3 linked regions of the Oreochromis niloticus genome follow. The protein of the gene in region 3 purifies or fractionates together with the protein of the main gene of each other region. This does not show direct contact. Links are inferred from orthologs where the notes say so. Each region holds a gene or a part of one and is shown on either strand. Other genes may lie near its edges.

Region 1 (10,744 bases), on a different chromosome or scaffold from region 3:
CTTCTTGTATAAAGAAATCTTTTTTAAAGTCAGATTCAGCTCACCGTCCTCATCCTCATCATCGTCTGCTGGATTAATCACGACTGGTGGATGGGTGGGGCTCGGCACTGGCTCCTGAGTTTCAGTCTTGACACTTCTGAGCTGAGGGTTCACCGTGGCCGCCGGGACAGTCTGTTCCTCGTGGTGCTGTTCCTCCTCCTTCTTTACGTCTGGGACGGTAACAGCCACGGTCATTAGCATCTTGCTGTAGTGGATGTAAAATGTCTGTGTGTGTGTTTAAACAGCTTCCACTCACTTTTATCAGGTTGGACAAAGACGCCTTCTATGTAGCGAGGCTTTTCATGGTAGAAGGCACAGTGTGGCTTCTGGCAGCCTGCCGGCTGGTTCTCCCAGTAACACGGGATCTCCTTTCGATTTTTCTGTTTTGATGAAGAACATTAACATGTGAACATTATACGGTGTCCATCTGACGTTGTGAAACAACATGCATGAGGAGAAACGCTCCTCACTCTCAGAGGAGGCTCAGAGGTCCAAGTCTAGACTCCTAATCACATACCACACTGTGGTTTGTAACACCACTCTGGACTATGTAGCTAAGAACTGAAGGTGAGGGAACGTGCCCCCGTTTTAACCAGCCTTGTGTTTGTGAACAGCACTTCACATTGTAGAAATCTGAAAGAAGGAGTCAGGAGTGGAGATCCTGGTTTACAGGGAGGCGTGGGCTTTTTTACTCTTCATTAATGGCCATTCAAGGCACACACAGCCTTGACTGGGCAAAGCCTGAAGGAGAGACCTTCACCTTTCTTCCATTTAGATTTTGCTTACCGTTATTTTCATGTGGCGAAACTTGCAGACAGCACGAAAGCAGCGTCCCTCCTGCCAGAGGCTGCAGATGGTCTCGTTCCCCATAGCTGCCTCACAGTGTCTGAACGGACAACTGTCTCCCTGCACAGACAAACAGTAAGCTTGGACTCTTCCTTCTGGCCACCAACACTTTCTAGCCCAATGTGTGCATATAGCAGGTTTGTTTACTTTACTGCAGGTAGAATAGTAAAAGAAGTAGCAGTCGTCTCCATGGCTGGTCATAGTAAAGCTGTTTTACGCGCTGGTGATGAAAAAGAACGACCTCTAAACCCAGCAGCTGGTTCTCTTATGGGCCTACAGGAACCTCCCTGACAACACAGAGCACAGAAACCAGACATCACACTTCAAACCAAACCAACACATTTGGTACATTTTGGAAGTTTTTCAATGGAATATTTAAACGCTCAGTGTCAGTGTGTACCAGGAACAACACAGGGATGTTGTGTCGCCCAAATCTCTACAAATGGTTTGGTTTTTGTAAACAAACAAAACAAAAACAGACTTTGCTGGATGCTTTGTTTAACACAGAGCTGTGTAATGAGCCAATGTGTGAGCGTTTCACCCATAGCTGCAATACAAACACATTCAGGAGCAGGTGTGGATGAAAAGGCTCCACACACTGATACACAACAGCACCAGTGATGACACTGGCATAGTTTAATGTGGAAACACACACACACACACACACACACCGTGAGGACCAAACTAATAGTCAAACTCGCTGACCTGAGGGTCTTTAGGCTGGACAATCAATTACTATTCATATCAATTCACATCTACACCATCATTCTGTCTTGTTTTCAGCAGCACAAAAACGTTGCATCAAAGCACAGGTGAACCTCAGAATGCTGATATGCTGGCTTTTCTTCACCGCCAGCACTGTAATTGTATCCGATGGAATAATCGATAAATTAATTGATTACTAAAACAATCGAGAGCTGCAGCAGTAGTCTGAGTACTGCCAGAGCTACAAAATGACCTACAGCAGGCCACTGATGTGAAGGTGACCAAACAATCAGAAACAGACTTCATGAGGGTGGCCTGAGGATTGACATTTGCCACTGAGCTCCAGGTCCACCACTGGTGCCCTACGCTGCTGCAGCGGGTCCTGGGATCCTCCTGGTGCACGACAATAACCAGAGTATGTCCCTGTATATGTATTCAACAAATATGTAGGACTGCTTTCTTCCATTTGCGCAACATCTCTAAAGGTAGAAATATCCTGTCTCAGAGTGACGCTGAAAAACTAGTTCATGCATTCATTACTTCCAGGCTGGACTACTGTAATTCTTTATTATCAGGATGTCCTAAAAACTCCCTGAAAAGCCTTCAGTTAATCCAAAATGCTGCAGCAAGAGTCCTGACAGGGACTAGAAAGAGAGAGCAGATTTCTCCTGTTTTGGCTTCCCTTCATTGGCTTCCTGTTAAATCCAGAATTCAAAATCCTGCTCCTCACATACAAGGTCTTAAATAATCAGGCCCCATCTTATCTTAATGACCTTGTAGTACCATATCACCCTATTAGAGCAATTCGCTCTCACACTACAGGCTTACTTGTTGTTCCTAACACTTGGATTCAGGAGACAGACACTATCTCTACTTTCAAGATTAGGCTTCAAACTTTCCTTTTTGCTAAAGCATATAGTTATAGTGCTCCCCATGACACAATGAGTGTTTCTTTTTCACTCCATTTTTAATTCAGTTCATTTTATTTATGAAGCACCAACTCACAACGTTCACCCAGACTCTGTACATCACCAACTAGATTTCAAGTCAAACAACTAGGGCTGCCACGATTCATCGACTAGTCACGATTACGTCGACTATCAAAATCGTCGACGACTAATTTAATAGTCGACGCGTCGTTTGAAGCTTTGTAAGATCCCGACAGACGCAGGAATAAGTAGTAGGATTTAAGAGTGTAATAACTGACTGAAACAGAAGATGGCAGCACTGCATGTACAAGGATGCCAGCTGCTGTTACACTCCGAAGAAGAAGCAGCTGTGTCCGGTATCATAGCTGTGTCCAAATTCAGGAGCCGCATCCTCCTGTGCCCGCATTTGTAGGCCAATTACGTTACAGCGACACTACAAAGACTGTCCAAATTCGAAGACTCCGACAATTGCGCCCTTCATTTCCCCAGATTTGAAGGATGGGTCGGGTGTATCCTTCGTGGCCCAATCTATCCCAGAATTCATCAGTTTCCAACAATGGCGGCAGCTAGTTAGTTTTAATATCACTCTTATTATTCTTTCTGGGTCACAAAATAAACGTTTAACATATTTTCAGGTGAGAATGTAGCTGTGTAAACTTCAAATATCTGCTTGGTTTATCAAGACACCACATATTTTCAAAAGAGCGCCAACGTTTTCAGAGACGTCTGTTACCCACCAGCTCGATAGCTAGCCGGGGTTCAAGGCTCACTAGAGCCGGTGAGAACACCGGACTCCTGGCAAATCATTTTCAAACCCACCGCGGTCTTTCGCTACTCAGGTTAAACATGATACATAAGTCACTTAGGTAATTTAAAAATGTTATTGTTTGGCTTTTTTCACAATTTTATTTGTTCCTGAGTAAATCGGTTTGGCTGAGATTAAAGTTATAGTTTTCACACAGCTGAATAAACGTCAAGCAGACAGCTGATTATCAGAAGTGTGAGATGCTCGAGAATATACTCCGGTGTCCTGTTATATTTTAGATAGCAAGGAGCAGAAGGCTGGGTTTATTAAACTCCACCTAAACAATCTGCAAATGTCATTAAAATTTAATAAACTATCATCTTGTCTTTATTTTTAGTTAGCACATACCTTCAACACTCAAAGCTGTAAGCTAATGATAGTTATATAAGAGCAGATGCTGCTGGTGCAATCAGCTGTACCTGTTACGTCCAATGGATGCATGATCTGATTAGTCGACTAATGCAAAAATAATCGATGACTAGTCGACTATCAAAATAATCGTTTGTGGCAGCCCTACAAACAACAAGATGTTCTGCACAAGAAAAATTAAAAAAAACAATTTGACAAATTTGTAGAAAAGGCAAAAAAACTGCACTGAGAGTAATCTGTAAAGCTGACCTGTACTCATGTGAGATGGCCTATAACATTTCAACAACAAAATGTTGCTTTTGTGTGAAGCATTGCAGCTCATTTACCTGAGGTAGTAGAGAAGTGGTCTGCCTCTTGAGTGCACAGCTGGTACGGAGTCTCCACAGTAGTAAGGAAATCCTGAAGGAACACTTGATCCATGAGATAAGAGGAAAAGTGGGGTGGGTCTCCCAAAGACATTAGTCTTCCTACGACATCCCATTTCTGAGACATCCTGATCTCTGCCAAACCGCTAAACAATACTGATGCTGATGCAATAAAGTCCTTTGGGGATTTCTTGTAAATCATCATTGATACTATTTGGTGTGGCTACTGACATAAATAAGTAGGGGGACATAAACAGCATGAACAAGAAAAAATAGAAGAAACTCTAACTGATGTGGGAAAAAAGATGAGAAAGGTGGGGTGGTTGGTGGGAAAAAAATCCTCAGCTTCTTCTTGGGCTTGTTGGCATTTTACACATTTTGTGACATTTGAATGCTGGAGGTTGGGAGGAAAAACGCTGCAGGACTTTCATGTCTTGATTACCAAATGCTGGAGAAAAAAAAATCTTCTGCCAATCAACTGGGGGCAAATTATCCGTATCCAGGGATTCCCAAAGAGGGCCAAGAGGATGGGTTTAAACCTACAAATACATCAGAAACACTGCCCGGGGAACTGAACACTGGTTATTGAAAGACAAACAGGACAAACACATTTCCACACAGCAACATGAAACAAGCCTGCTCGACACTTACATACTTTCACATTTCTAGTGTCTCATGCAGGAAAATCTACAAGTACTGTTTTGGGAGGCTTCTTCACTCTACACACGGAAGCCTTAGCTTGCCAGTGACAATTGGCCTTAACTATGATCGTCATCTTAATTAGGACACAAACAAAAATTAAACTGAAACACTCAGATAACAATAACGAATCTCAAACTCGAGGAAAATATAAATTTAAAGACCAAGACAGCCAAGAAAACATTCATATACTTACTGTTGAATTACAAAAAGTGTCTCAAAGCTAATGAACTACGTGACTCCCAGTCGGAAAGGAAAATGACTTTATAGCTAACCGGGCTAACTAGTCTCTAGTTTAAAAATGTGAACTCTTAAATTATTATGCTTAATCGATGAACACTTTTTTTAGCTCGTGTACATAACAGAGGCCTACCGAAACCTTGGGCGGTTAGCGACCTAATCGTGAGCTAAGCGTTCAGACGGCCGTTTATTACCGTGGTATTCACGTTCGTGTTATAACGCGTGAATGTAACTGCCATACATATGATGTAAACAGTGTATGTAGTGTTGAATTACCAGTTTAAAATTTAAAAAGATATTTGAAAACTTGTAGAATATGGCAAGAAAAACCCGAGCCTGCTCGAAGAAAACCAGAAGCGCACTGTGACTTAAGCAAAATGGCGACGGTGGAATAAAAATACGAAGGGGTGGCCTGCGTGCTGTGTTCAAGTCGCACGGAAAGGTCGAAGATTCGAAAACTTCTATCACGTCTACAGCAAGAGTGTTATACACTCTCTAGGGGCTATGTCAGCAAAGACATTCATTCTGCTATGCTAACCCTTAGTGAATAACAGTCTGGCGTAGAAATAAATAAATAAGCACCGTAAGTAATTATGAACTATTTAGATAGGCCAAATCTAGTTAGTTAGGGTGCAAACTGCTATCGCGGCTATGTTGTGATCCACACAATTTATTTTAAATACTGTCAAAATCACACTGCATTGTGCAGCATTACCTTCCGCTCCCTCCAACATTAGAAACGCTAACTAATAATCACATTGAAAGAAAAATTAGTCATCGCTTTCTGATTTCAAACGTGTGCTTTTTATTTTGAAAAGTAAAAACAGGAAGTACTATGTCGGTTTCACAGTAGGGTCCGTGCACAGTTGAGACTGCCCCCTGCTGTTAGCTCCTATGTCGTTGGCAGAAAGCAGACGGACCAACTTGAAGTTAGCTTTACATGCAAACTGACAAAAGTAGTACCGGGACACTAACTGCTAGTTTTTACACACTTCGATGGACACTGTTCAGGTTTGTGAGTTTTTTAAAGTGCCTAAGTTGACGTGAGCTAGCGTTAGCATGCAGCTGCTTTAACCAGGGCAGGGTCAGTTAGCTGCAAGGTGACTAACACGTATCGCCGTTTGTAGAGGTACTTTTCGTTCACACCTGGTTGCGTGTCTTTGGTGCACAGAAAGCAATGGCCGGATTTTCTCTGGACCTTGGACCGCTGAAGGAACCTTTGGGATTTATTCGTGTCCTCGAATGGGTAAGCACTGTCACATACATGTCTTTGTACGTTATTTATCCCAATCAGCGTGAAGTCTGGAATATTCACTGGGATGTCTCCTAGGAGTCCATTTATCCATGTACCAGTAATTAAACTGGTACATGTATTCAAGAAGACAGCTTGAATAACTAATGAAGAACTTTAAACTTCTGTGTCTGTTTTGTCGACGTTACATTTTATAACACTGACCTTACTCATTTTCCTCAGTGAAATGTTAACCTAGAACAGGGTATCAGCTTTTATCACATCATAAAACCTGATTATGTGTAGGACTGGGTCATACCACCAGCTGAACCAGTTACCAGGAAATTCCACTGTGGTACTCCCAGTGTGGCTGGTACCTGGTGTTGCTGAACCGTGGGGTGAGTTTGATGTGGAATGGCAGCTGCTTGGCTTGTGTTGGAACAAGCTGTAAATCTCACTTGTGTTTGAGTCCGTGAAACTGCCCTTTGATTTTGAATAGACTGAATATGAAGAAAAGAAAACACATTAGGATTGCCCCTGCCTGTGTGCCTGCACATATGGTGGTGCTCTGTGTATTAGAGCACCACCAAATCCACGCGTGGAAGGTGAAAGTGTGTCAGTCTGCTCCATTTTAGTGTACAGTAAGGTTTGTTTCAACACGACTGTGAACTATAGAGAGTGAAATATAAATGCAAAAAGTGTTGAGCCAGCCTGGTTTGTTGATCTTTTGCTTGCAGGAAGACAGACGTGTTTTAAAATGGTCTGGAGCAGTAGCTCTCTCATACCTGACCATTTTCAAATGGGTTTGTTTTGTTTCTTTGTTGGTTTGTTACAGCTATTTAACACTGACCTGTGAATAGGGCTGGCCCATATCAAACCGTTCACAGTAATACCGGTATAATGTTGGGCAACAATAAGAAAATAGAAAGCGAAAATTTCAGAAGAAATTTTAAGTGTGCCTATGCCGCTAGTAATCAGTGTAGTTTGCCATTCATACGGCTACAGACAGCAAAACTCAGAAGAGCAGCCATTCTCCACCATGAACTATGGTAAAAACAAACACCGCTCACGCTTCACAGATGACAGCTTACAGTTTTGTGTAAAGATGAAGTTACTTTGTACAGCGCCGATTTGCAGACGCTGTGCACACAGGTTCATGAGCAGAAGTCCCATTGTACCACGGCAGACCCGACAATGTTTGCACGAACACGCTTTGAAGCATTACGTTATGGACCACTTTTCACACATGGTTGGTTTACCCACACAGCCGGCCGTGCATTCACTTTTTGTTTTTTGTTATTTTACACAGTGTTCTGAATTATGAACAATGGTCTACAGCCAATCTTGTGTATTATTATACAAACTTTGGTTGTGAGATTCAGATAACTATTTAATAAAAGCTAAATATTTTATATGAGAGTAAGAAAGAAAAGTATATCTTTGTGTCCACCTTTCTCTGTTAATGCCCTAGCTGGTCTTTATTTGTCTCTCAGAAACAACTCATAACTTCCCTTCAACTCATTCATGTCACCTAAAGTGTAAACCTGTTTCTCCATCACCAGTTCAGCTCTGATGATTCAGTAAGGACATCTCCTGAGTTCATCTTCATGCTCCAGCAAACATCAGCTGATACTAGAAATTAAAATCAAAAGAATTGTAACAACAGCTGATCAAGCTTAAAGGTGCTGCTGTTGTTAGCCCGAGAAATAAGAGCGAACAGCCGATCATTGATCAGTTTCATGATTGACGTTTCAACACGCGAGAGAATGACAGGGGAGGCTTCGTAACGACAGAATAAATCATAATATTTTCTCTGACTCTATGAACTAACCCTTATGAATAAAATAAAGTCCAACGTCAGTAACTTAGCGCGCACACAGCTGTATATAAACTCCCGTGGCAGTACGATTGTAAAAGGTCAACGAAAATAAATTACACCTAAACTCGGTTTATATCTGACCCAAATAGAGTGCAGTTCATAACTTCTTACCTGAAATTCAGTTCACCTCACGCTCCTGCCTTCGGTTTCCAGCATCATCGGCCCATATAAACGAAAAATAAGTCCAGCTGAACACAGACCCTTGGCGAGCAATCGGGTGTTGACACGACTTTCTGCCGCTTCACTATAAGCCAAACTTGGGTGCTTTTTCACGAAGGGTCGCTAACGGCGCTAGCTTGCGGCGCTAGCTAGCTAGCCGGCTATCAACAACACGTAAGAGAATATGGGATGTCTTGATAAAACGAGCAGATATTTGAAGTTTACACACCTACATTCTCGCCTGAAAATATCTTAAAAGTTTATTTTGTGACCTAGAAACACGAAAAAAAGCATTATAGAATCCAAGTGGTGTCCGCCATTGTTTCACTGGCAGAGGCTAGCGGCGCTAGCTAGCTGGCTATCAACAACACGTAAGAGAATATGGGATGTCTTGATAAAACGAGCAGATATTTGAAGTTTACACACCTACATTCTCGCCTGAAAATATCGTAAAAGTTTATTTTGTGACCTAGAAACACCAAAAAAAACCATTATAGAATCCAAGTGGTGTCCGCCATTGTTTCACTGGCAGAGGCGTGCTATGAATTGTGGGATATGGAGTTTTCCGACAAGAATAAAAGTTTTAGCCCGTACTACTCCCGGTATACCACTAGAGAGAGCCAACACACCACAAATGAAGTCTGTTTCTATGGTGCCAAAAGCAGAATCTTTCTCAGGAGCCTAGAAATTGGCCTAAATTTGTACTAAAATCTAAATATTTCAAAAACTATAAAAGTCATAAACACCAAAAGTCATACCATACTAGCCCAGCTCCAGCCGCACAAAATGATGTAACATATGTAACCCTATTGTCAAAACTGTTTGGCAGAGGAGCGTGGGAAAATTTTCACTAAAATATTAATATTTAAAAAACTATAATAGTCATAAACACCAAAAGTCATAGCACACCATTCCAGATCCAGCCGCACAAAATGAGGTAACATATATGAAGCTTGTCTAATAATAAGAAGAATAATAAATCCGAGGAATAGTAATATGTGTGCCTCTTGGCATAGGCACACATAATAAAATATCGCGATAGAATATGGGTAAAACGCGCATGCGCAGTGCCTTTGTTTTCATACGCACATGGCGGAAAAAGATTGGCGGCGACGGAGAATGAGAAGGGCGAAAGCAGATCGTTGAATGAAACGGATGAACCAGAATTGGTTTGTAACATTGCTGCAACTTCAGTGGTGTGGAACTGGTTTAGCTTTCGTCTGTCAGATACACAACAAAGCACTATTTTTGGTAGAGCATGCTAGCGGGCCGTCGTTGTTACTGTATTTTTTGGAAAATACGGCACACTTAAAATCAATACTTTGATTTTTCTGAAAATCGACAGTGTCCCTTATAATCCCGCGTGCCTTATGTATGAATTCTGGTTGTGTTTACTGACCTCGAAACGATTTTATGTACACGGCGCTCGAAAATCTGTCAAATGTGTTAGTACGACTTTGCTAAGCTACGAAGCTGCACCGCTTGATGGATTGTTGGAGCATTACGGCTATCGTAGGCAGGAGCCTCACGGAGTGATACGTACTGTGCTTCAACATAATATTACCGTATTGTGTGTGTATAACCTCTTTTTAAGTTTTGTGGATATTATACATGGTTATGCTGAGGATATGTCGGCCAATTTCCACTGGAAATGCTTTTTGGTTAAACTGTCAGCGAGGAATTTGCACTGTTACATTTTTATTTAACTTTACATACTTTTTTATATAACTTTATATAACTGCACATAAAAAAACAGCTGCTTGTTTAAGCACTAATAAAGTTGTGAAGTTGTAAAGTATTTTGTCTAGTGTCAATTATATCGTCAGTTATAAGTAGTGTTATGTCTACAGGCAACAAAGGAGCAAATAACCAAACTTAAATTGTATCTATAAACTCTTTTATCTTTCTATCAGCTTGACACAAAACCCAAGACATTTCCACAGTGTTATATTTATTATTGACAATATTTTTAGTTATTTGCTTGCCAGACATTCTAATCTGAAAGATGAAAAACAGCTTGGAAGAACAGAAAAGCTTCGTACACTCATTCGTACCAGGACGTTTTTCGACACCTAAATGTAGTGTAATGCTAGACCTGCGGTCTAACATTTGAACAGTAAATAACCTCGAAAAACAAGTGTTTATTCAACCATGTGGTGTCTAAAGTTGCACTGTTCACGTCTTTTAGTTTGTGTCAGAAGATGAGCTGCAGCATTTTGGGCCGACTGCAGTCTTGTAAGGCAGGTTAGACTAACTCCAGTATATAAGGAGTTAAAATAGTCCAGTTGGATTGTAATAAAAGCATAGATGATCCGTTCAAAGTTTTTAAAAGATAAAAATGATCTCACCTTAGATAAAAGCCTCAGTTTGAAAAACAACTGAGCTAATCTATTTTTCAAAGGTGAAATTATTGCCAAATATAATCCCCACATTTTTAGCATGCGACTTAATAAAAGGCTCAAAGCTGTGCAGGTTCAA
Region 2 (10,725 bases), on a different chromosome or scaffold from region 3:
TCGGTTTCTGAATGACAGAGCTTAAGTTTCCTCACTATCACTTTGACTGGAGCGAGTGTGAGTGAGTTAGTGTGTGAGGGGACAGACACCCACACGTCACTGTTTTACTGACAAGAGCAGAAAAAACTGCTGCCACCTACTCAAGCTTGTACAAACACACGACTTCCAGGAAAGCTACACGCTCTACATTTCCCCCAAATGTTCAGCTGATACCGCCTCACGCTTTGAAGAAACACGTGCCTCCAGCACATGGCTGTGTCCTTTAATGCAACTATCTGCATTTCTCAGTGCAGTTCTTTGTCAGATTAACAGGATTACTTCGGTTTTCTTTTTACTCCCTTCTCACGCACACCTGCACTGTAATTTATGCAGCTGTATGAGAGGTCTTAAAGTAAGAGAAATTATGGATTTTAGTGAGAATAAAGACAAAGTAGATTTACATTAAACTGATCTGATCATACATTAAAACGTAATGAAGTTGGCATTTTGAAGCCACTTTAAGCAAGCAAGGCGGCGGGAGGGGGGGGGGGGGGAGACTCTTTACAATAGTAACACTTACAAAACTCATTCTTCTGTCTAAACCACTTGTATGCTGATGTTTGGAAATGGCTCTCACACTGCAGCATGTCCCCACCTAGTGGATACATTGAGCAACTGCCCCAGTAAGATTTTGAAGATGTGTGTCAGGTCCAAGTATGTGTGCAGACACTATTTTAAATTCCCTAATTAAGGTATAAAAATACTACAAGACAAATAAGGTCTCACATCTTTAATTTTTTTTGCAAAACAAGACTTGGAATTACAGACGAGCCTGAACTCAGGCAAAGGAATCATACAGTCCTCTCTCCATGCAGTGTGCAGAGTTGCACGTGAACAGCACCCCCCCCCCCCAAACCTTCCAGATGCGACTGTGGAATGTACTTGTGTTCACACATTTACCGCTCTGACATTTAAAACTCAGTGCAACAGGGTTCTCATTAAAACAAATGTGGCGTCACCATGAACTTCTACAGGAAAAATCAAGACAGCCTCTTAAAGAGCTCTTCAGTGTGCTGTTCCACACTCAAGAGCACCAATATCGGTCCACCTCACAACATTAATAGCTATTTTTTTTACAGTTTAAGGATGAACAATTGGAAAGGGAGGATTATGTGTTGAAATCTGGGGTGCGATCTTGTTTAATCCACTTCTTCCATGCGTGAAGCATCGTCCTCAGCTTCGCCTTCTAGGGGAGGCATCTCATCTGGGACAGCTGTAGTGGTGGTCTCCTCTGCGGGAATGTCGTCATCGTCGATACCTGAGTGCACAAAAGCATAGCGTTGCTCACCTAGATCGATACCCACTTCTAGAAAGTCAAGAGGATCTGGAGTTTTCTTACCAAGACCAAGTTTGATCATTCTGTAGATGCGGTTGGAGTGAGTCTGTGGGTCGTCCAGGGAGAAGCCTGAGGACAGCAGTGCGGTTTCAAACAGCAGGATGACGAGGTCCTTCACAGCCTTGTCGTTCTTGTCAGCCTCAGCCTTCTGCCTGAGAGTCTCCATGATGGGATGGTCAGGGTTGATCTCCAGGTGCTTCTTGGCCATCATGTAGCCCATGGTGGAGTTGTCCCTGAGTGCCTGGGCCTTCATGATCCTCTCCATGTTGGCGGTCCAGCCGTAAGTACTTGTCACAATGCAGCAGGGGGATGACACCAGTCTGTTTGACACAGTCACCTGAAGGAGACAGAAGACATTAAGATTTAAAGAGGCTCAGGTGACAACATCTGATAATTTAAGGAGACAAAGTCAAGTTAGTCAAGCATGTTAGAAATAATACCAGCACATTACAACTTTAAATCTAGTCTAGTTAGTTTACATCCCCAAATCCTTGCGAAAACTTGAGTACTAGATGCACATTACTGCAACAAGCACGAGTTTGACTGCATTCACTTTATGGTTCAGATTTCAAACATGTACAGCACCACATCTGGCAAAGAATGCAAATCATTCGCATCACACCAAGACTGCAGGAACTCACCACAGTACTAGTTGGAACCAATTAGACAACCTGTTACCAAACAAAATCCTATCAGCCACAGTTGTGAACTTTGAGACCCTAAACGCTAGAGCACGAAGGGAAGTTTGGGTTAATCTTAATTGGGCTCTCACTAGGATCACTGACCTTCTCCACTTTCTTGTCAAGAATCTCCTTCATGAGCTTGCAGAGGTTCTCAAATTTAGCCTTGTCATCCTCCATCTTTTTCTTCTCCTCCTCATCCTCTGGCAGCTCCAGACCCTCTTTGGTGACAGAGACCAGGGTCTTGCCATCAAACTCCTTCAACTGCTGGACACAGTACTCATCAATGGGCTCCGTCATGTACAAGACCTCAAAACCACGCTTGCGGACACGTTCAACAAAGGCAGAGTTGGCCACCTGATCCTTGCTCTCACCTACAAATGACAAAAAAGCGATAAAGTTTGAATAAAACTTCATTTTTAATACTTGTGTAAATGCAGTTCTCTTCTACCATTTCAGAAGCTACTTAAGGTTTATTTTACTCACCAGTAATGTAATAGATGGATTTCTGGTTTTCCTTCATGCGGGTCACGTACTCCGAGAGGGAGGTGGTCTCGTCACCGGACTGGGAGCTGTGGTAACGCAGCAGCTCAGACAGCTTCTTGCGGTTTTGCGAGTCCTCGTGCACACCCAGCTACAAGTGAACAAATAAGATTTATCATCTTATCCAAAAACAATCTCATACACCAGTAGGGTTAATGGATTCAAATAAAAAGTCAATCCCACCTGTGTATGGTCAGGTGGGATGGACTGCCAGCAATGTCACTATTCTAATCACACTGACATTGCACACTGCATGAATTCTGCTACATAGTTTGTCACTTTAGGCTTTTAATTAACATGTTTTCAGTCTACAGCCTAAATGTGGGAAGTTTCTATTCCTAATGCAGATTTGACTGCATGGGATTACATAAATGCCAAAACAGCTATTCTTCTGGGTTTTAAAGATCTGGTTATTACACACACACACACACACAAAAAAGTCTACACTACTTTGAAGAGGGCTTTACAAACCAGATTAAAGAATAAAGAGGTAAACCTTTGAGGTCCAAGAAGATGCACTGACATGAAATGAAGAGAATTTTAAGAGCCAACTTTCCTAAAGACACAAAAAAAAGAAAAGTAGCCAGAATATTATAAATACCTTGAGGTTCTTTGAGAAGGCTTCGTAGAACTTCTTGTAGTTTTCTTTATCCTCACCCAGTTCAGCAAAAAGCTCAAGACATTTCTTGACAATGTTTTTACGAATGACCTTCAGGATCTTGCTCTGCTGCAGCATTTCTCTGGAGATGTTCAGGGGCAGGTCCTCGGAGTCCACAACACCACGGATAAAGTCTGGAATAACATAAATGCTACACTAAGCCTTTGCCTTTAAGCAATTCCTTACTGTGTGCTAAGCTGTAAATTAAAGTACTTTCAGACTAAAGGTAAAAAGCAAGTCATCTTACTCAGATACTCGGGGATGAGCTCTTCACAGTTGTCCATGATGAAGACTCTCCTGACGTAGAGCTTGATGTTATTCTTCTTTTTCTTGTTCTCAAAGAGGTCAAAAGGTGCGCGGCGGGGGATAAAGAGCAAGGCACGGAACTCCAGCTGGCCTTCCACTGAGAAGTGCTGTAGAGGAAAATGACTCCGTTTAGCTTTATTTGTAGTTTATGACTACGTTAAAAACCCAGTAGGCCAATTAAAACCTGGAAGAGCTGTTCAGGTTAACCTGCTTACCTTAACAGCCAGGTGATCCTCCCAGTCGTTGGTCAGACTCTTGTAGAACTCGCCGTACTCTTCGTTTGTGATGTCGTCAGGATTCCTGGTCCAGATGGGCTTGGTCTTGTTCAGCTCCTCCTGGTCGATGTACTTCTCCTTGATCTTCTTTTTCTTCTTCTTGTCCTTGTCTTTGGAGTCCTCCTCATCATCTGAGCCAACATCCTCGATCTTTGGCTTGTCCTCACCTTCCTCTTTCTCCTCCTTTTCTGCCTTTTCCTCCTCTGCCTCGTCGTCACTGACCTCCTTGTCGCGCTCCTTCTCCACCTGCAGATTCACATTACTTTGATTTTTACTTTGCCGTTCTTTAATGGTATACTAACAACGTCCTCTATAAGAGTCACTTACAAAGAGGGTGATTGGGTAGCCAATGAACTGAGAGTGCTTCTTCACGATCTCCTTGACCCTCTTCTCCTCGACGTACTCTGTCTGATCCTCCTTCAGGTACAGGATGATCTTTGTTCCACGGCCAATGGGCTCACCTGTGAACAGTTGTGATGCTTTTAGGACATTTTGTACTAAAGTGTCCATGGAGTCAAGATTCAATTTTTAGATACTTCAAATCCATATTTAAGCCTCTAAAGGAGCGCACTTTGCTAGACGATGCCAACTTTAACGCCAAGATTGAAAACAACTCTCTTAATACTTTAAAGCTACATCGTAACCTCAGACACATGAAAACCAATACACAATTAACAACATCAAGACCATTAATAGTAAGAACTGCTTCCAATTCATGAGAAATCAGGGACATCCTTAGATGTACCCACAATATTTAAAAACGGGTTTAGTTCTGATATTGTAACATCAATACACTTACTGTTGTCAACCTTGACTGTGAAAGAACCTCCAGCAGAGGACTCCCAGGCATACTGCTCATCATCATTGTGCTTTGTGATGACAACCACTTTCTCAGCAACAAGGTAGGCAGAGTAAAAACCCACACCAAACTGACCAATCATGGAGATGTCAGCACCAGCCTAGAGGAACACAGTGAGTTCTAATGTTAGATTTCAGCTTAATTGTGAACATGGAAAATGCTTTCCTCTTATAAAGCGTCCCTACGGTTCCATACTGAGATGCATTCCCTTCATACCTGCAGGGCCTCCATGAAGGCCTTGGTACCAGACTTTGCAATGGTACCCAGGTTGTTAATGAGGTCGGCTTTGGTCATACCGATTCCAGTATCGACCAAGGTCAGGGTGCGTTCAGCCTTATTGGGAATGATGTCAATTTTCAGATCCTTGCCACTGTCGAGCTTGGAGGGATCAGTCAGGCTTTCATAGCGGATTTTGTCCAGAGCCTGCAAATGTTTAAACAACAGGATTAAAACTAACATTCTTTTAAGCATTTAGAAACACAAAAAAATGGCTAAAAATAAATGCATCAGTGCTGAATGAAAAGCTCTGCTCCTGCTAACTTACATCAGAAGCGTTGGAAATCAACTCCCTGAGAAAGATCTCTTTGTTGGAATAAAAGGTGTTGATGATCAGCGACATCAGCTGAGCGATCTCAGCCTGGAAGGCAAAGGTCTCAGCCTCCTCTTCTTGGTGCATTTCTTCAGGCATCTGCATTAAAACAGTTTGTGTATGCTTTAATAAAATGGGTGGATTTCGATAAAAACAGGATAAGGCTAATTATGGGATCCGGTTAAACTACATATATTCAACTACTTTCAGTTTCGCAAACTGTATCACCGTTTGATCCTGTCAGAAGTCGGTTACATAATATGGATAACTGCCGTCATGTTGCGGAAGTGGCCGTTAACCAACATGGCGTCGAGCGACAGACAATGGACCCCGCAAACACGTGCTAAGGAAAAGCTACCGATGAAAATAACGAAAAAAAGCTTATGCAATGCGGCAAAATAGGTTCACCCAGAAGAGCAACTTAAAGCCGTGTATTAACGACAGCAAACGTGACTGTCATATAAAACGGCTCTGCCACCAATTCGAATAAATAAGAGCTAAAAACACCACTCACTTAAGACGAGCATAAATCTGAAAGCATTGGCAACTTGAGAGACTAACTCGTGCGTTTTATAGACACGCGACAGCTACGTGAACACGGGGACTAAGCGAAATCGACTCAAGCCAGTTCACGTTACTCTTATAAAGATTTAAAAGGATTAATTCTGTTAATGTGGACCAGTCGTACAATTTATGAACCGATACAGCGCTGTCATGTTCGCCACACCTGCCTTGGTACTACACACGGCTGGGGCAGTGCGGCAGAGTGCAGCATTTACACCGCTCGACGTCTACGTGACAAGTGCAAACATTTCTTACTCCACAGTAATTAAAAACCAAAATTCTGAATACTACTGTGATATGTTAGCTGTACCTGACCAAAGTTACTTAAGGTTACAACCGTAACTCGTGAGAATACGAGCTGTACTGTATAATGACTGTTTAATAAAAGGTCAAATATCAAAGGCTAAAGCACGTAGTAACCAACAAGAAACCGCTCGTCTACATACCTTGTTAATTTCGTTGACTTTTCTTGAATAAAATGCAACCAAATCGCTATCCCTTACGCTGTCTGACGCAGAGAAATGGAAAGGGACCTCCTTTTAATAGACCGGTATCTTTATACACGTGCTTCACTGTGCAGTCGTATCCATCCGCGGTGCGCCATCTAGTAAGGAGAAGTGCACCAAGTGAATTACAGTTAATGTTTTAAGGCTACATTCACCATGTGATGAGTTTGAATGAAGACTTGAGGAAATACCATAACTAAATAAATAAATATGATATTATTAAGACATTTTAGCAGGTATTAATTCAGTGGATTGAAGTGTAATGTGTACTAAAGAAAACAAATCTCTGGAGATTTAAAGCCATTATATTAGGTATACAAAAACAAGGGGACTTTTTCAAGATTAATTAGTAAAGTGAATTCAAAAACACTTTATACTACTTTATACTAATCTCCTGGAAAACACAGTATTACAGTTTTATTTCTGAGACAAGCGCATCATTGCTGCCATCTTGTGGCCGTTAAAACCAAAAACGAAAGTATTGTCCGAATCGATCTATTTTATACTAGTTTCCAGAGCTGCCGCGATATGCTATCAAAGCATAATTTAAATCAGTCTAACAAATAAAGTCAATAAAACTCACGAGTATACCGTTAATTTTCCGACAGACCAACAAAGACTTTAGATCTTTTTAATCTGATGGAGGAATATTCAAAAACATGCAGGGTGTGCTTCGTTTCTTCTAGCACTTTCCATGAAAATCCCGCCTAAAGTGACGTCACGCGATGTCAGTCGCAGTCTTCACGTAACAGCCGCTGTCTCCGAGAGGCACCGACAAAATACAAAACAAGACAAACAAACAAAAAACCCATCAAAAACAAAACGCTGCTTATGCAATAAATAAATAATTGATCTTCAGATATTTATTCTGTCGGATGTCAAAATTATTATTTTATTCGTAAAAGACATTATGGAGGAACTCCTATGCACAAATAATAGACTACGTCTTTGAATTACATATTAATGTAATTCAATAAAAATAAAAATCTAAATTGACGATGTCTTAAAATTTCCCCAAAGTAGTACATACAAGTGCAGGAGTTGTATTATAGTGTTGAAATCCATTTTTAACCCAGCAAACCTTCAACATCGACAAACGCTCCCTAACCTTATGTTTCATTAACCTTCTAGACGACCTTTAGGAATGCTATGTAAATATTAATAATAATAAGAGTAGTGATTTTTCTTATTGATGTTAATATTACAATACTAGTATAAAACTATACTCTAACGACTCTAGTAATAATAGTAGTACAGTTATTGCCGCAGTAGCTACTAGTATCGTTAGTAAACTCCGTCCAGTGGTCAGGTCTTGGTGTACAAAGCCAGCGCTCATGTAGTGTTGCGCGTAAAGCGCTTGCGTCAAATGTTTTTTTTTTTTTTTTGAAGGCCCGACTAGCCAACGTGCTAATCCAACATTTGGAACGTTAGAGGAATTTTCATAATTACTAACCTTCTGAGAGTATTTTTATTCTTTTAAACACCACCTGATTAAAGGTATGTATACCTGGGCATGTGTAGATTTATCTTGAACTTTAACTTTGCCCGCTAATAGTTGAGTGTTGTTTGTTAAGTAACGCCAGGTTGCGCTAATATTAGCTTAGCTTAAGTCTATGCCGGGGACACTGGAGCGTGCTCGGTGCTAGCTTTAGCTAACTAAGCTGCTAGTTTTTTGGCCGCATAAACAGTGAGCAAATTAACTCGTTGTAACACAATAACAATACGTGGGTCCTGGGACTTTATAATAGTCACCCTGCGAACGCCATCCCATTGAGCTAAGCTAAGTTTAAGTATTGTTGCTGCTGGGCAGCAGAAGTCACCGACGGGTACTTTACATTCATATGACTAGATACCAATAAACATCGTTGTGCTTTCTCTTATAGTGTTGTTGATTTAAACTAATCGTTTTAAAAGTTTGGCTCTTTGTTTTATTTTACATTGTTTAGAGGACTTGATTTAATTACACATCTGGTGCTGCTGATAACGGGTATCTTGGTTCCTTCTTCAGGTCGGTCCACTTCACTTCCACAATGTCCTTCCCCCCTCATTTAAATCGGCCGCTGTTGCCTCCTCCAGGCATCCCTCCTCAGTACACAGGCTTTCCCCCAGGTAAGCACCCTTCTGATTGGCGTTCACCTGTTTTGTTTCAGTTTTGCCACAATGTCATTATTAAGAGGCATATTCGCAACACTGAAGGTAGTTGAGATTCGCTACATTACTGAAAATATTTGAGAATCGTTTTACTAATCTGCAGTCATAGATCTTAAGTGAAAATGGTGTAATTGCTTGTTGCATGTTTTCTTTGGCTGTTTCAGGAGCCCCTATGATCCCAGTTCACATGGGTATCATGGCCCCCACACCTGCAGTAATGGTTCCTTCAGTACCAGTGCTCAGCAAGCCTGCAGTCCCTAAGAGGGAAACCATTGCTGTGAATGCCAAAGACAGTGATGAGAACAGTGGCCCCACCACAACGGTGTTTGTAGGGAACATATCAGAAAAGGCTTCAGACATGTTGATCAGACAGCTGCTGGCGGTAAGAGGGGAACACACATTCTACTTGTAGAAATACACCAGCAAAGGCAGACACCCTCTTAATTTGACAACTTTATTTTTTTTCTTTGTAATTCTATAGAAATGTGGAATTGTTTTTGAGCTGGAAGAGAGTACAAGGAGCCTCTGGCAAGCTTCAAGGTAATTTCTAATAATCCAAAGTGGGTATTATTTAGTCAGTATATGGGTATTAAAAGATGAAGAATAACTAGATACATGGCAAACCATTAATTCAGTCTATAAACATAAACATTTGATCATGCCCTTATGTCTATTTATATGTCAATATTTGTTCCAGCTTTTGGTTTCTGTGAGTACAAGGAGCCAGAGTCCACACTGCGAGCCTTGCGACTGCTTCACGACCTCCAGATTGGAGATAAAAACCTACTTGTGAAAGTTGATGCCAAGACAAAAGCACAGCTGGATGAGTGGAAGGCCAAGAAGAAGACTGCAAATGGGGTATGAATTTTGTAATAGCAATTGTTGGGTCTGCGCTTCCACAGGCCCCGCTGGTTTAGAAACTTATTGTGTGTGTGTGTGTGTGTGTGTGTGTGTGTATGTGAGTGTGAGTGTGTGTGTGTATGTTTGTGTTTGGGGGTGCGTTTGTGTGACCTCCTGCCCACAAAAGGATCATAAAAGCAGGAGGCTTACTACACAAGAAAACAGAACCCTCACATAGATGTCCCTACAATAAACCACTTCAGCCTCCCCCACCAACAAACTGGCTGGAGAGGTGGTCAGAGACAAAGGAATGTCTTTGATCATGCTGCTTGAACTAAGACTTACAAATTTAAGTATCACAATGACAATATTTAACAATTTGACTCCAACAGCAATTCAAATAATTGTTTGCAGCAGCTAGAGAATGTGAAAAATTGCTAAACTTGACTCATTTTATTGACAGGATAAAAAGAGTGAAGATGCAGGAGAGGATGAGGAAGAAGTGTTAGATGAGGAGACAAAGAAGAAAGATCAGATTATCAAGGGCGCCATCGATGGACTGATGCGGGAATATGCTGCGGAACTAAATGCACCTTCACAGGATGATGAGTCCCAGCGACGAAAGAGAAAAAAGGAGAAAAAAGAAGAGGTACTGACCTTGATTAATTGTTAACTTGTGCTACTGTTTTGTTTACTCCTTAGCTTGAAAGTGAGCATTGTTATTTCAACCTGTCAATGCGTTGTTTTTCCTCAGGATGACATAAACACTATTGACATGGAGGAGGACAAGAGGGACCTGATTTCCAGAGAGATTAGTAAATTTCGTGACACTCACAAGGTAAAGTGGCTTCTTTGATCTTGTAGTTGACATTTCAGGTTTTGGACAGCAGTTCACTCCTAGAGCTTGCACATTTAGTTGACACAGTTTTTTTTTTTTTTTTAACCCTAACTCAGTAACATGCATACTCCACTATAGATTGGCGGTCCCTAAAACAACACCACCAAACATATTATTCTGCCCTAAACTATATGAAATGTTTTATTTTCAATGTTTGAACACTACAAGTGGGCAGACAGCTAGTTTATTCTTGTCACCTTTCTCAGGCGTGATTTGACACCTGCCACTATTGCCAAACTATCTAGGTGTGACCATTATAGATCCATATCTTCATTCATCACACAAAAATGCATGGCGACGATGTAAAGTTACTTAAAAGCTAATCTATTCATTAAACCCCACCATTATGATAGTGATCATATGGTGACAAAAGCAAGATGAATCTCAGAGCTTTGGAAAAAGTTGCCAGGATAGGATGTAAGTATCAGCCTTCATTTACTATATACATATACTGGGCGTCCCCCTCTTGAGGACTTGCATT
Region 3 (10,486 bases):
GGGTAAGCAGCTAATAATGATAATGTATACTTCTTTGATCCCCGTGGGGAAATTCCTCTCTGCATTTAACCCATTCACTCTTTGAAGCAGTGGGCAGCCATTGGGTGCCCGGGGAGCAGTGCGTAGGGACGGTACCTTGCTCAGGGGTACCCCCAACCTTCCGATGAGGGGGCCACCACTCTACCTACTGAGCCAGCCAAGCTAGGGAAAGCATTATGTCAGCTGTGCTATGTAAGCTATGAAAACAAGTCACCGGATCCCCCAAAAGGCTGCGTTCTCAGCCCCCTACTGTACACATATGACTGTGCACCAACCCAGCCACCCAACGTCATCGTCAAGTATCCTGACGACACCACTCTGATCTCTCTGATGGAGATGAAACAGCGTACAGGGCAGAAGTAAAGAACCTGTCCCGCTGCTGCTCAGAAAATAACCTGAAGCTGAATGTCCTTAAAAAAAAAGAACTCATAATGGACTTCAGGAGGAACAGACCGATAACAATGACCGCTTTTTATCATTTGAGGAAGATGATAACAAGGCTTTAAATGAATTGGCACCTTCATACCTCTCTGACCTTTTACACCTTTATGTTCCATCCTGTGCTCTCCGATCCCAGGACTCTGGCCTTTTAAAGGTTCCTAAAGCCAGAAAAAAGACAATTGGAGAGCGTGCCTTTTCGTTTCCTGCCCCATTTTTTTGGAACAACCTCCCTCAAGATATTAGGGAGGCATGCTCTGTGGAAGTTTTTAAAACTAAGTTGAAGACACATTTGTTCACCCTATCTTACATGTCTTAATTCTATGCCTTCTAGTTTTTAAATTCTTACTGTTTTTTACTTGTATTGCTATGTATCGCTTTTATTCATTTATCTTTTTAGTTTCAAATAGCTGTACAGCACTTTGTTTGAAAGCGCTTTATAAATAAAGTTATTATTATTATTATCATCATTATTATTATTATTAATGGACAGCGGGTGGAATCTGTCTCCACCTTCAGGTTCTTGGAAGAATAACCTTGATCACAAGCTGCTGCTGGCCTTCTACTGCTCCTCAGTGAAGCGCGTACTCTCCTACTGCCTGGCTGTTTGGTACGCAGACGCCACGACGGAGAACAGGAAGGCTGCACAGACTGTAATTAACACCGCCTAAAAAATCTGGCTGCCCTCTGCTATCCCTGGAAGCCATCGCCAGCTCCTCCTGTTTCAGAAAAACCAGGTCCATCAAAGGTGATGGTTACATCACCTCACTCACATCCCGTGAGTGTGAAGGTCCCAAACCTTCACACTCACAAACAGCTTCTTCCCCTTGATAGTTAACAAACACTATGCCCAAACCCCCCACGCCCTGCCAACCACCTCACCAATCTGAGCCATTATCTGAGCAACCCTCATCACTCAGGCCTCTCACATACATGCTCTACAGTCAGACCTTTGCACCACTTCCAAGCACTCCAATCTGTGCCTTAGTCTTTTTTTTTCACATTTTCCTCTAGATTGTACATATGGCTATGTTTGTCATTTATTCCTGCTGTCTATGGAGCACCTATACATTTGTTGTACATTTACAATGACAATAAATGGCATTCTATTCTATTTTGCTGTTTTCACGGTAGGTTTACAATGATTTAGATTGCAAACTGTGATGGGGCGTGGTCTGCGGTGCCGTGTGGACGCACCCCGCCGCGTCCTGGGTTTCGGCACCAGTGTGGTGGAATTAAGGCACGGCGGGACCGCAGATCTGTGTTTTGAGCCATCTTTATTCAACATTTGTCACACCACCACAACCCCACCAACCCCTGAGTCCCCATGTTTTAACACGGTGAGCGTGATTGCGGATGCTGTGCAGGTGCATCCGCACGGCACCGCAGTCCACGCCCCACCACATAAACCTACACAGATTTTCATGTTTTTATCTTCTGTGTTCAGCACATCGAGTTTGAGCATAATGAAATGTGCTATGTAACTAAAATTACCATTGCCAACACAAACCCACCACAGCTCTGTTAAAGGAGGAACTGACATTAATCTTTATCAGACACTTCAAATACAGAGAGAAGATAAAAAGGTGATTAAATTCAGCAATGGTTGTACCAGTTCCACATTTTCCTCCTGGCACCAATTACTTACCCTCAGACGGATGTTCAAACCCACAATCCACTATGGCTCTCAGCAGTTCAGGTTTCAATAGAAAGTCTCTGAATCCAGAGGAGTGAATGGACACATAAGAGCCCTTCACCCCCTCCTTTCTTATCGACACGTCACTTGCACCTCCAACATCTCCAGCCCCTCCGGCCTCCACCTCATCATCCTCGTAGTCCAACAGCTCGTTATCTACGTCGTTTTCTGTCATCCTGACCCTGCTGCGAAACGAGAAAAACAAATGTGGTGTATGAAACTTCAGGAACAAAGAGCTTTTAAACTTTCACAGTGCTAAAAGGATCAACATGGCCAAAGTTATAATTATTGGGGTCAGCATGTGTGCAAAAAGGAGCCAGCAGCTTAGACTTCAGGTTTTTTTTCACTCCTGGTTCGGAGACGTCAGTGAGAGCAAATGTCCTTAATCTAGCTATCTCAAGCTCATGCTCTGAGTGCAGCAGCCCAATCCCCCCTCCCAAAGTCAAGTCCTAATCAACTTCATTGTTATTATACTGACAATTAGACATACATCATTAACCCTGGTCTCCAAGTCCCTTGGAAACATGCAGGACATCGTTCCATACAATCCAGTGTATAAATGAATGACATACATGTGCAGCTCATCACTGTTTCAGAGAAGAACCATTTCTATTTTTACCAAACAAACTATAAACAGAGACCAAAATAGTGCAGAGAAGAATAAAAAAGATTCTTCACCCTCCTCAAAAAATACATAAAAATTAGAGAAAAAAGGGGAGAGAAAACAAATACACTGAAAAATGTCAACAATGTTGAGAAATGATGAATTGCTTTTTAGGCGTTTAGAGATAATTACTATGACCTGCTCCAGTTGAAACAGAGCTGTAGAATGGGGGAGAACGCTGATTTAAGTGACTTTGAACACACCTTGATTATTGGCGCCCTGTATCCTAATCTGAGTACTGCAGAAACGTCTCTGCTAAGGTTTTCCCACACAAATCCAGTGTAAACCCTTTGTAGGGTTTACAGAGAATTGTCCAATAAAAGAGAAAATATCCATGGAGTGCTTTGTTGATGTGTGAGGTCAGAGGAGAATGGCCAGACTGCTAAACTGCTTAGCTACTTGCAGACATGCATCATAACAAAACATAAGATAAATGAAGTGGGCTTACAGAGGCAGGAGAGCACACCAGGTGCCAGTCCTGTCCGCTAACAACACAACAGCAAGGCTACAACTTGAACAACATCATCACAACTGGACAACAGAAGCTTGGAAACCGTTGCCTGGTTTGATGAGTCTGCTACAACACTTGCATGGGAGGGTCAGAATTTAGCACAAACAACATGAGTGTAGATAAATACATATTTTATTGATCCCACATGTTTGTGTTACAGCAGCATGATAACAAATATGAGTAAAAATAGTACAGTCTACAATGGATGTGCAGCTGACAAATCTGCAGGAACTGTGTGATGTTATGATGTCCACATGGGCCACAATCTCTGAGAAAATGTTTTCTGCACTCTGTTAAATTGTTGGTACAAAGAATTCAATCAGAACTAAAAAGGTGTACAAAGGTTACAAAGTGTTTTGAGTGAAAGCAGAATACTTAACACCAGGTACTGTCACACTGGTGCCTATCCCAGCTTTCTTAGGGCAAGAGGCAGGGTACATCCTGGACAGGTCGTCAGTCTGTCACAGGGCTAACACATAGACACAGACAACCATTCACACCCATGGGCAATTTAGAGTTTCCAATTAACCTAACCCCACTAACTGCATGTCTTTGGAGTGTGGGAGGAAGCCGGAGTACTCATAGAAAACCCAGGGAGAACATGCAAACTCCACACATAAAGTGGAGTTGCCTGATGGTGGAACTGAATTCAGGACCTTCTTGCTGTGAGGCAACAGTGCTAACAACTGTGCCACCCTGCAAAATTAATTTATATTGCATAAATGCCAGAATAGTGGTGTGTCTAACATGAGGCACCAACTTGTACGGCAGGCTAGAATTTCTATAAGGACTCCAGTGATGTCCACCACCTCAGGTTGAAAACATGAACCAGTCCACTGTGCTAAAAAACAATTGCCTGGTTTCATTTTGAGCTTCTATTTTGAAGGAATATTCCGGAACTTTTATTTTTATTGTCGCTGAATATTAAATAGCTATAACCACACGCGCAGTTATGTTTTGACTTTTGAAAGTTCAAATCCAGCAGTACTGATATGTCTTTAAGATTTCTTCATCACACTGCAGATCATAACCGACATGAAACTACGGTCGCCATAAAACTGGGACCATCCCCGATGTCTGTTATTCACTCGGGCTCGTCTGATATTACGGCAGCTGACGTAAACACAGCGAGTGGCCTTTTTAGCAATAACCGTAAAAGCAAATTCCAAGTATTCTAAACAGCTAGCTGCAATTAGCTCAGCGGCTAACAAAGAACTCATCATATCCTCACTGGAACATCTCACGGCTCAACATTAAACTTCAGAGAGGTGACAGTCATGTTGCCGCAGGTACTGGTAACGTGCACTGCCTACAGTTCTTTTAATAATCGACATACCTTCACTACGAGAGAGAAAAGTCAACGGCTGTTTAAAGTAAAGCGCGACTGTTAGCGCGTCACAATGACGTGTAGAACGCGACAGACAACCAACCGCTGTAGGACCCGACGGTGTGTAACCATGCAGATGTCAGGCTGAAAGTAACAACAGAGAATCTTTGCTATAAACCGCGTCTTGTTTAGATTGCCAATCCTGTGAAGACATTAAACGGTAAATCATCAAAGTCTTTTGTTAAAGCCTAAGGCTGACGACGAAAGCTGAACACAGCGTTAGTTGACAGTTACAGATTTAATCGACTGCACTTCACGTGTTCAAGTGCCACGTGCGGTGTTTTGCTCCAGTGAGTGTTAGACAACAAAACAACATTACCGCTTTAACTTATTTTGGAAGGTAAGCTCTAAAATGTGAATCGACAAAGCAAAATAAGTCAGTCTAAATTTTTATTCGATACTATTTTACAGTTATTGATAATATCAAAATGTATAACAATAATACTTTACATGAAACAGAGATGTCGTGTTTTGGTGGTGGTCCCAACTTCTGCCCAGAGTGTGGGAATGTTCTTCCTCTCCCAGGAATACCGGACGTAGTGTGCTGCCCCGGCTGCTCTTTTAGGATCCCTGTATCAGGTAAATTCCATATCAGAGTTTATGCGAGTGTGAGCATGAGCAGCAGAGATTTTGCTGCTATCTCACTTTTTGTTTTTCTCATTTCACTTCCATCTTGATATTCCTGTGATATTTATACAGCTTGTACAAATGAAACGGCAAAGCAGAGTAGCTATCTGAGAGCTATCTGCTGTCCATCTTTGGATCATTTTAGTTTCTTGCAGCAAGTGATTGTATTTTCCTAAGCTCAATATACAGTATTGTGGCAAAAGAATTCACTCACTCATCCAAATCACTGAATTTGGTGTTTCAATCACTTCCATGGTCACAGGTGTATAAAATCAAGCACCCAGGCATGCAGACCGCCTCTACAAACATTTGTGAAAGTATGGGTTGTTCTCAGGAGCTCAGTGAGTTCCAGCATGGTAATGTGATAGGATGCCACCTGTGCAACAAGTCCAGTCAAGTCCTCAGTACTAAATATTCCAGAGTCAGCTGTTGGTAGTGGTAAGCAAAGCAGAAGTGATCGGAAACGGCAGCAACTCAGCCACAAAGAGGTGGGGCATGTAAAATCAGAGCAGGGTCAGCAGATGTTGAGGCGCACTGAGTGCAGAGGATGGCAACTTTCTCAGAGTCAATCACTACAGACCTCCAGACTTCATGTGGCCTTCAGATTAGATCAGAACAGTGTGTAAAGAGCTTCATGGGATGGGTTTCCATGACCACCAGCTGCATCCAAGCCTTACATCACCAAATGGAATGCAAAGTGCTGGATGCAGTGGTTTAAAGCAGTGGTGGACTCTACAGCAGTGGAGACCTGTTCTCTGGACTGATGAATCACGCCTCTTTTTCTGGCTATCCGATGGATGAGTCTGGGTTTGGTGGTAGCCAGGAGAGCAGTTCTTGTCTGACTGCATTGAGCCAAGTGTAAAGTTTGGTGGAGGGGGGATTATGGTGTGGGGTTGTTTTTAAGGAGTTATTTCCAGTAAAAGGAACTCTTAATGCTTCAGCAAGCCAGACAGACGATGCTGCACAAAGTGCTTAACAATATAAAAATGCCATTAAAAAGAGACAATGTAAAACAATAATAACAATATAAAACAATGATAGGACAATAAAATAATTAAAACAATAACTAAGACTATTAAAATAAGACAAAAATTTTTGGGTCATAGTGTGTTAAAAGCCAGGGCATAAAAAGTAGTGATTTAAATTGATCAAGTGTTTGTGCAGGTCTAATATTTAGGGGGAGACTATTCCAAAGTCTGGGACCTGCCACAGAGAAAGCTCTATCGCCACGAGATTTGAGATCAGTCCGTGGGATGGAAAGCATTAATTTTGAGCTAGACCTCATGGTTTTTCCTGGAGCATAAACAGAAAGGAGCTCAGACAGGTAAGAAGGGGCTCGGACGTTAAGTGACTTTAAAACAAAAAGTAAAAGTTTAAATTGGATCCTGTAGGAGACAGGAAGCCAGTGTAGAGAAGCTAAAACTGGGGTTATATGCTCTCTCCGTTTGGTCCCAGTTAGCAGGCGAGCAGCTGCATTTTGGACCATCTGAAGACAATGAATGGAGTTCTGGTCGAGACCAAAATACAATGAATTGCAGTAGTCCAACCTGCAAGTAAGGAAGAGGCGAATAACACGTTCAAAGACGTTAGCCGGGAAGTATGGCTTTACCTTGGCCAGCTGTCTTAACTGAAAGAATCAGAACTGGACTACTGCACTCACCTGCTTATTCAATTTAAAAGAACCATCAAGGTAGACACCAAGGTTTTTTACATGTGTTTTACAATAGGAGGAAAAGGGGCCTAGAGTGCTATCGATGTGATTATTGACAAAGTTGCCGAAAATGACAACTTAAGTTTTATTTTCATTTAGCTTTAGAAAATTTAACGACATCCACTGTTTGATGTCGTCAAGGCAGCGTAATAAGAGCTGGGGACGGTCAGACCCTGCTTTTAAAGGCAGATAAATCTGCAAATCATCAGCGAAACAGTGGAATGAAATGTTGTAACACGAGAAGATGGAACCCAATGGCAACAAATAGAGTGCAAACAGGGCAGGACCCAAAATAGAGCCTTGAGGTACACCGTATTTAAGAGGGGCTAGTTTGGAGTTATGGGGGCCATATTGACATAAAAAGACCTTCCTGACAAGTAGGACCGAAACCACTGTAGGGCAGATCCCTTTAGGCCAGCATGAAATTCTAGCCGTCATAACAGGATGTCATGGTCGACCGTGTCAAAAGCTGCTGACAGGTCCAACAATAAAAGGGCAGCAGGGCTACCAGAGTCCAGAGTTAAAAGAATATCATTAAAAATCCTTAAAAGTGCCGTCTCAGTGCTATGTAATGATTTAAAACCAGATTGAATTTTTTCAGAAATCACATTCAAATCAAGGTGGGCCTGCAACTGTAAGTAGACCACTTTCTCCAAAACTTTAGACAGTAAAGGAAGCTTTGAGATTGGCCTGTAATTGGACAGAACAGTTGGGTCCAGGTTATTTTTTTTTAAGAAGAGGCTGAACTATTGCTTGTTTAAAGCATGATGGAACACAGCAAGGGACAGATTAATTAATCTCAGGATAAAAGGCCCGACAGTATTAAAAGTGTTTTTAAGCAAACTTGGGGGGAGACAATCAGAGGGGCAGTATGATGATCTTAAGTTACAAACTACCGCACTCAAGTCATTCAGGGAGACAGGATCAAACTGCTCTAAGACAACTGAGCACATAGGAGAAAGACTAGGATCTGAGGCAGCAGTCGACGAGACAAGAGCCTAGGGGTGGGCGGTATAAACGGTATACGGTAGAAACAATATAAATTTGGCCAACAGTAGAGATTTTGACTATACCGCACTACCGCAATAGCGCATGTTGATGGTGTCATCAAGCTGCGTCTGTTTTGGTCGAAAGCATCGCAGCGGCTGCAAACAATATCATCTGCAAATTATGCCAACGACAGTAATAGCAAAGAGATGAAGCACTTTTGGAATATGGGGAAAGCCAAAAACTGCGCTTCCTCCACTTCCGTATCATTGAGTCATTAATGCTGAATTCCCTCGCAGCTGCTCTATTCCCATGTTGTTGCAGTATATTAATGACTAACCTCGTATTGTGGATGGATTATCTCAGTTGTTCTCCTGACTGAAGTTTGGTCCGTTTACAGCATCCTGCCATGGGATTGCATTTGTCCCTAACCATCAGGAACCTTCACGTTAACTTTTATCGAGTGGAAAAAAGTTAGCATTCATCCTTCAGCTTCACTGTGCTAATGTTATGCTAACGTAGCTGTGTTGCTAGCGATCACATAGAAGATCATTATATACCAGCTAGCCCAACTTCAGTAACCCTACAAAAGTCACTGCTGTTGAGTTTCCTGTCTCAACAGGAAATTTATGTCATTTATGTTGGAAGTGATAGCAGAGCTGTACGTTTGAATTTTTTCAGAAATCTCTCAGTCAGAACATGTTATATCATTTTTAGGTGGAAACTAGCGAGCTAACTTCCTGCTAACTTCTAACTCCGTTGAATTTAATAGATTCTGTTTTCATGGATGCCTGGATGTTAAGCTTAATTGTTACACCTGGTAAAGCAGCAACGCTGATCATTTTATTAAAGATGAAAGAATTTACACAGTTTTTAACTCTCAGTGATGCTGCAGTGTTCGTTTGACTTTGGGACCTGAAGGAGACGGAGTTTTGGACCCAGATTTCTCTGCAAGGCTCCTGACTACGGCAGCCATAAGGCTCCGGTGTTCTGGGAATTCATCAATCGGTGCGCCTTCATAGCTTACCAAAGTCTTACTAAAACATTTTTTGAGAGATTTCTGCGCGCCGTGTCCGACATAAAATCGGTTCGAGATCAGTGAGCACAACCAGAATTCATACATAAGGCACACTGTCGATTTTTGAGAAAATTAAAGGATTTTAAGTGTGCCTTATAGTGTGTAAAATGCGTTATACAGAAGAAAAGAATATATTGCGATATATATCGTTACCGCACATGCTTCAAATTATACCGTGATATGGATTTTAGGCCATATCGCCCAACCCTACAAGAGCCCTAATAAATAGAACCTTGTTGTTAAAAAATGCTAAAAAATCATCACAAATACTTGGTGAAGAAATGACTCCGGCATTATCACGTGAACTAAGAAAACTATTAAGGACATTAAAAAGTACCTGAGGCCTGTGACTGTTTACTGACACTAAGTTTGAGACAAACTGTGTCTTTGCAGTTTTTACAGCTTCTTGGTAAGCAGAAAGACGAGTCCTTAAAATCTGTAGAGAAACGTGCAATCTGTCCTTTTTCCATCTCCTTTCGGCGTGTCTGTAGTCATGTCTAAGGGAGCACGTATGTTCATTCAACCATGGCTCTGATAATTGCTTAGCGCGCACAGTCCTAAACGGAGCAATCGAGTCTAAAATATCAGTGCAGGTAGAATGAAGAATGTCTGAAAGGTCCTCAACACTTTTACAGTTGGAGTTCATTGTTCCAGAGTCCATAAAGGCAGCCGAAAAAGTGGTTGCTGTTAGAGAATTAAGCGCTCGCTTTTTGTGCGCTGGGGCACACGCTTATCTACCGAGCAGCGTTAGAGTGAACAACACAGGAAAGTGATCGGAGATGCGCAACTCAGATATTTCCGTGATGGACATATCCAGCCCGTGGGAAAGCTGTTGTGGCAAATCCACTTGGCCAAAAAAATGGATCGGACATCAGTTATAGAAACAATCGTCTTTATATAGGACTTCAAAAAAGGGGTGTACAGCACGTAAACTGACCGACATCAGAACAACATATAATGGCTTCCCGAAACTTTTCTTTGCTAGCTAAACATGAGTAACTTCCATCTCTGCACACGTATTAAATGCTCCCTTTTAGCAGAAAATTAAATCTATAATTAACAGCTCTCACTAAACATGTGGCTAGTAATTAAATCATTTACAAAATAACCAAAATGCTGTTATCAAGCAATAAACTGCAATAAAGTTACAGCAACATCCCCCCCCCGATGAACTAATTGTTCATCTAAAGCTCTAAGTTGTAGAACAGCTGAATCAGTCTTCTTAACAGAGTCCCTGTTGTCGTGCGAACTAAGCAAGATCTAACAAGACCATCTCGACCCGGAAACATTTCTTCAATTCTTCCAAGCTTCCACACTTGTCTGGAGAGGTTGTCGTGCCCAATGAGCA

What was found. Proteins that work in one complex are often made in the same cells at the same time.
Region 1: the proteins of ddx39b (region 3) and zc3h11a purify together in Homo sapiens (affinity purification with mass spectrometry; 4 studies listed by BioGRID and IntAct, with this or other methods). This does not show direct contact. The link is inferred for Oreochromis niloticus from reciprocal best matches to the Homo sapiens genes DDX39B and ZC3H11A.
Region 2: the proteins of ddx39b (region 3) and hsp90ab1 purify together in Homo sapiens (affinity purification with mass spectrometry, with the first as the bait; 3 studies listed by BioGRID). This does not show direct contact. The link is inferred for Oreochromis niloticus from reciprocal best matches to the Homo sapiens genes DDX39B and HSP90AB1.

What each region holds. Positions count from the first base shown.
Region 1 is NC_031970.2:39,570,007-39,580,750, reverse strand, and holds the start of zc3h11a (zinc finger CCCH domain-containing protein 11A), read right to left. Parts: upstream 5,391-10,744; 5' UTR 5,274-5,390; exon of another isoform or gene 4,954-5,273; intron 4,093-4,953; 5' UTR 4,020-4,092; intron 1,173-4,019; 5' UTR 1,087-1,172; coding exon 1,033-1,086; intron 946-1,032; coding exon 826-945; intron 420-825; coding exon 296-419; intron 210-295; coding exon 45-209; intron 1-44. Other genes in the region: sypl2a (synaptophysin-like protein 2a), read left to right, coding at 5,994-6,008, 6,169-6,243. UniProt on the Homo sapiens protein: Through its association with TREX complex components, may participate in the export and post-transcriptional coordination of selected mRNA transcripts, including those required to maintain the metabolic processes in embryonic cells.
Region 2 is NC_031980.2:14,200,001-14,210,725, forward strand, and holds hsp90ab1 (heat shock protein HSP 90-beta), read right to left. Parts: upstream 5,391-10,725; coding exon 5,241-5,390; intron 5,120-5,240; coding exon 4,913-5,119; intron 4,797-4,912; coding exon 4,637-4,796; intron 4,299-4,636; coding exon 4,165-4,298; intron 4,084-4,164; coding exon 3,778-4,083; intron 3,670-3,777; coding exon 3,504-3,669; intron 3,391-3,503; coding exon 3,200-3,390; intron 2,690-3,199; coding exon 2,542-2,689; intron 2,430-2,541; coding exon 2,161-2,429; intron 1,713-2,160; coding exon 1,379-1,712; intron 1,298-1,378; coding exon 1,179-1,297; 3' UTR 755-1,178; downstream 1-754. UniProt on the Homo sapiens protein: Molecular chaperone that promotes the maturation, structural maintenance and proper regulation of specific target proteins involved for instance in cell cycle control and signal transduction. Undergoes a functional cycle linked to its ATPase activity.
Region 3 is NC_031985.2:37,862,923-37,873,408, reverse strand, and holds the start of ddx39b (DEAD (Asp-Glu-Ala-Asp) box polypeptide 39B), read right to left. Parts: upstream 4,819-10,486; 5' UTR 4,685-4,818; intron 2,359-4,684; 5' UTR 2,349-2,358; coding exon 2,126-2,348; intron 639-2,125; exon of another isoform or gene 597-638; coding exon of another isoform or gene 566-596; intron 1-565. Other genes in the region: polr1h (DNA-directed RNA polymerase I subunit RPA12), read left to right, coding at 5,197-5,314. UniProt on the Homo sapiens protein: Involved in nuclear export of spliced and unspliced mRNA. Component of the TREX complex which is thought to couple mRNA transcription, processing and nuclear export, and specifically associates with spliced mRNA and not with unspliced pre-mRNA.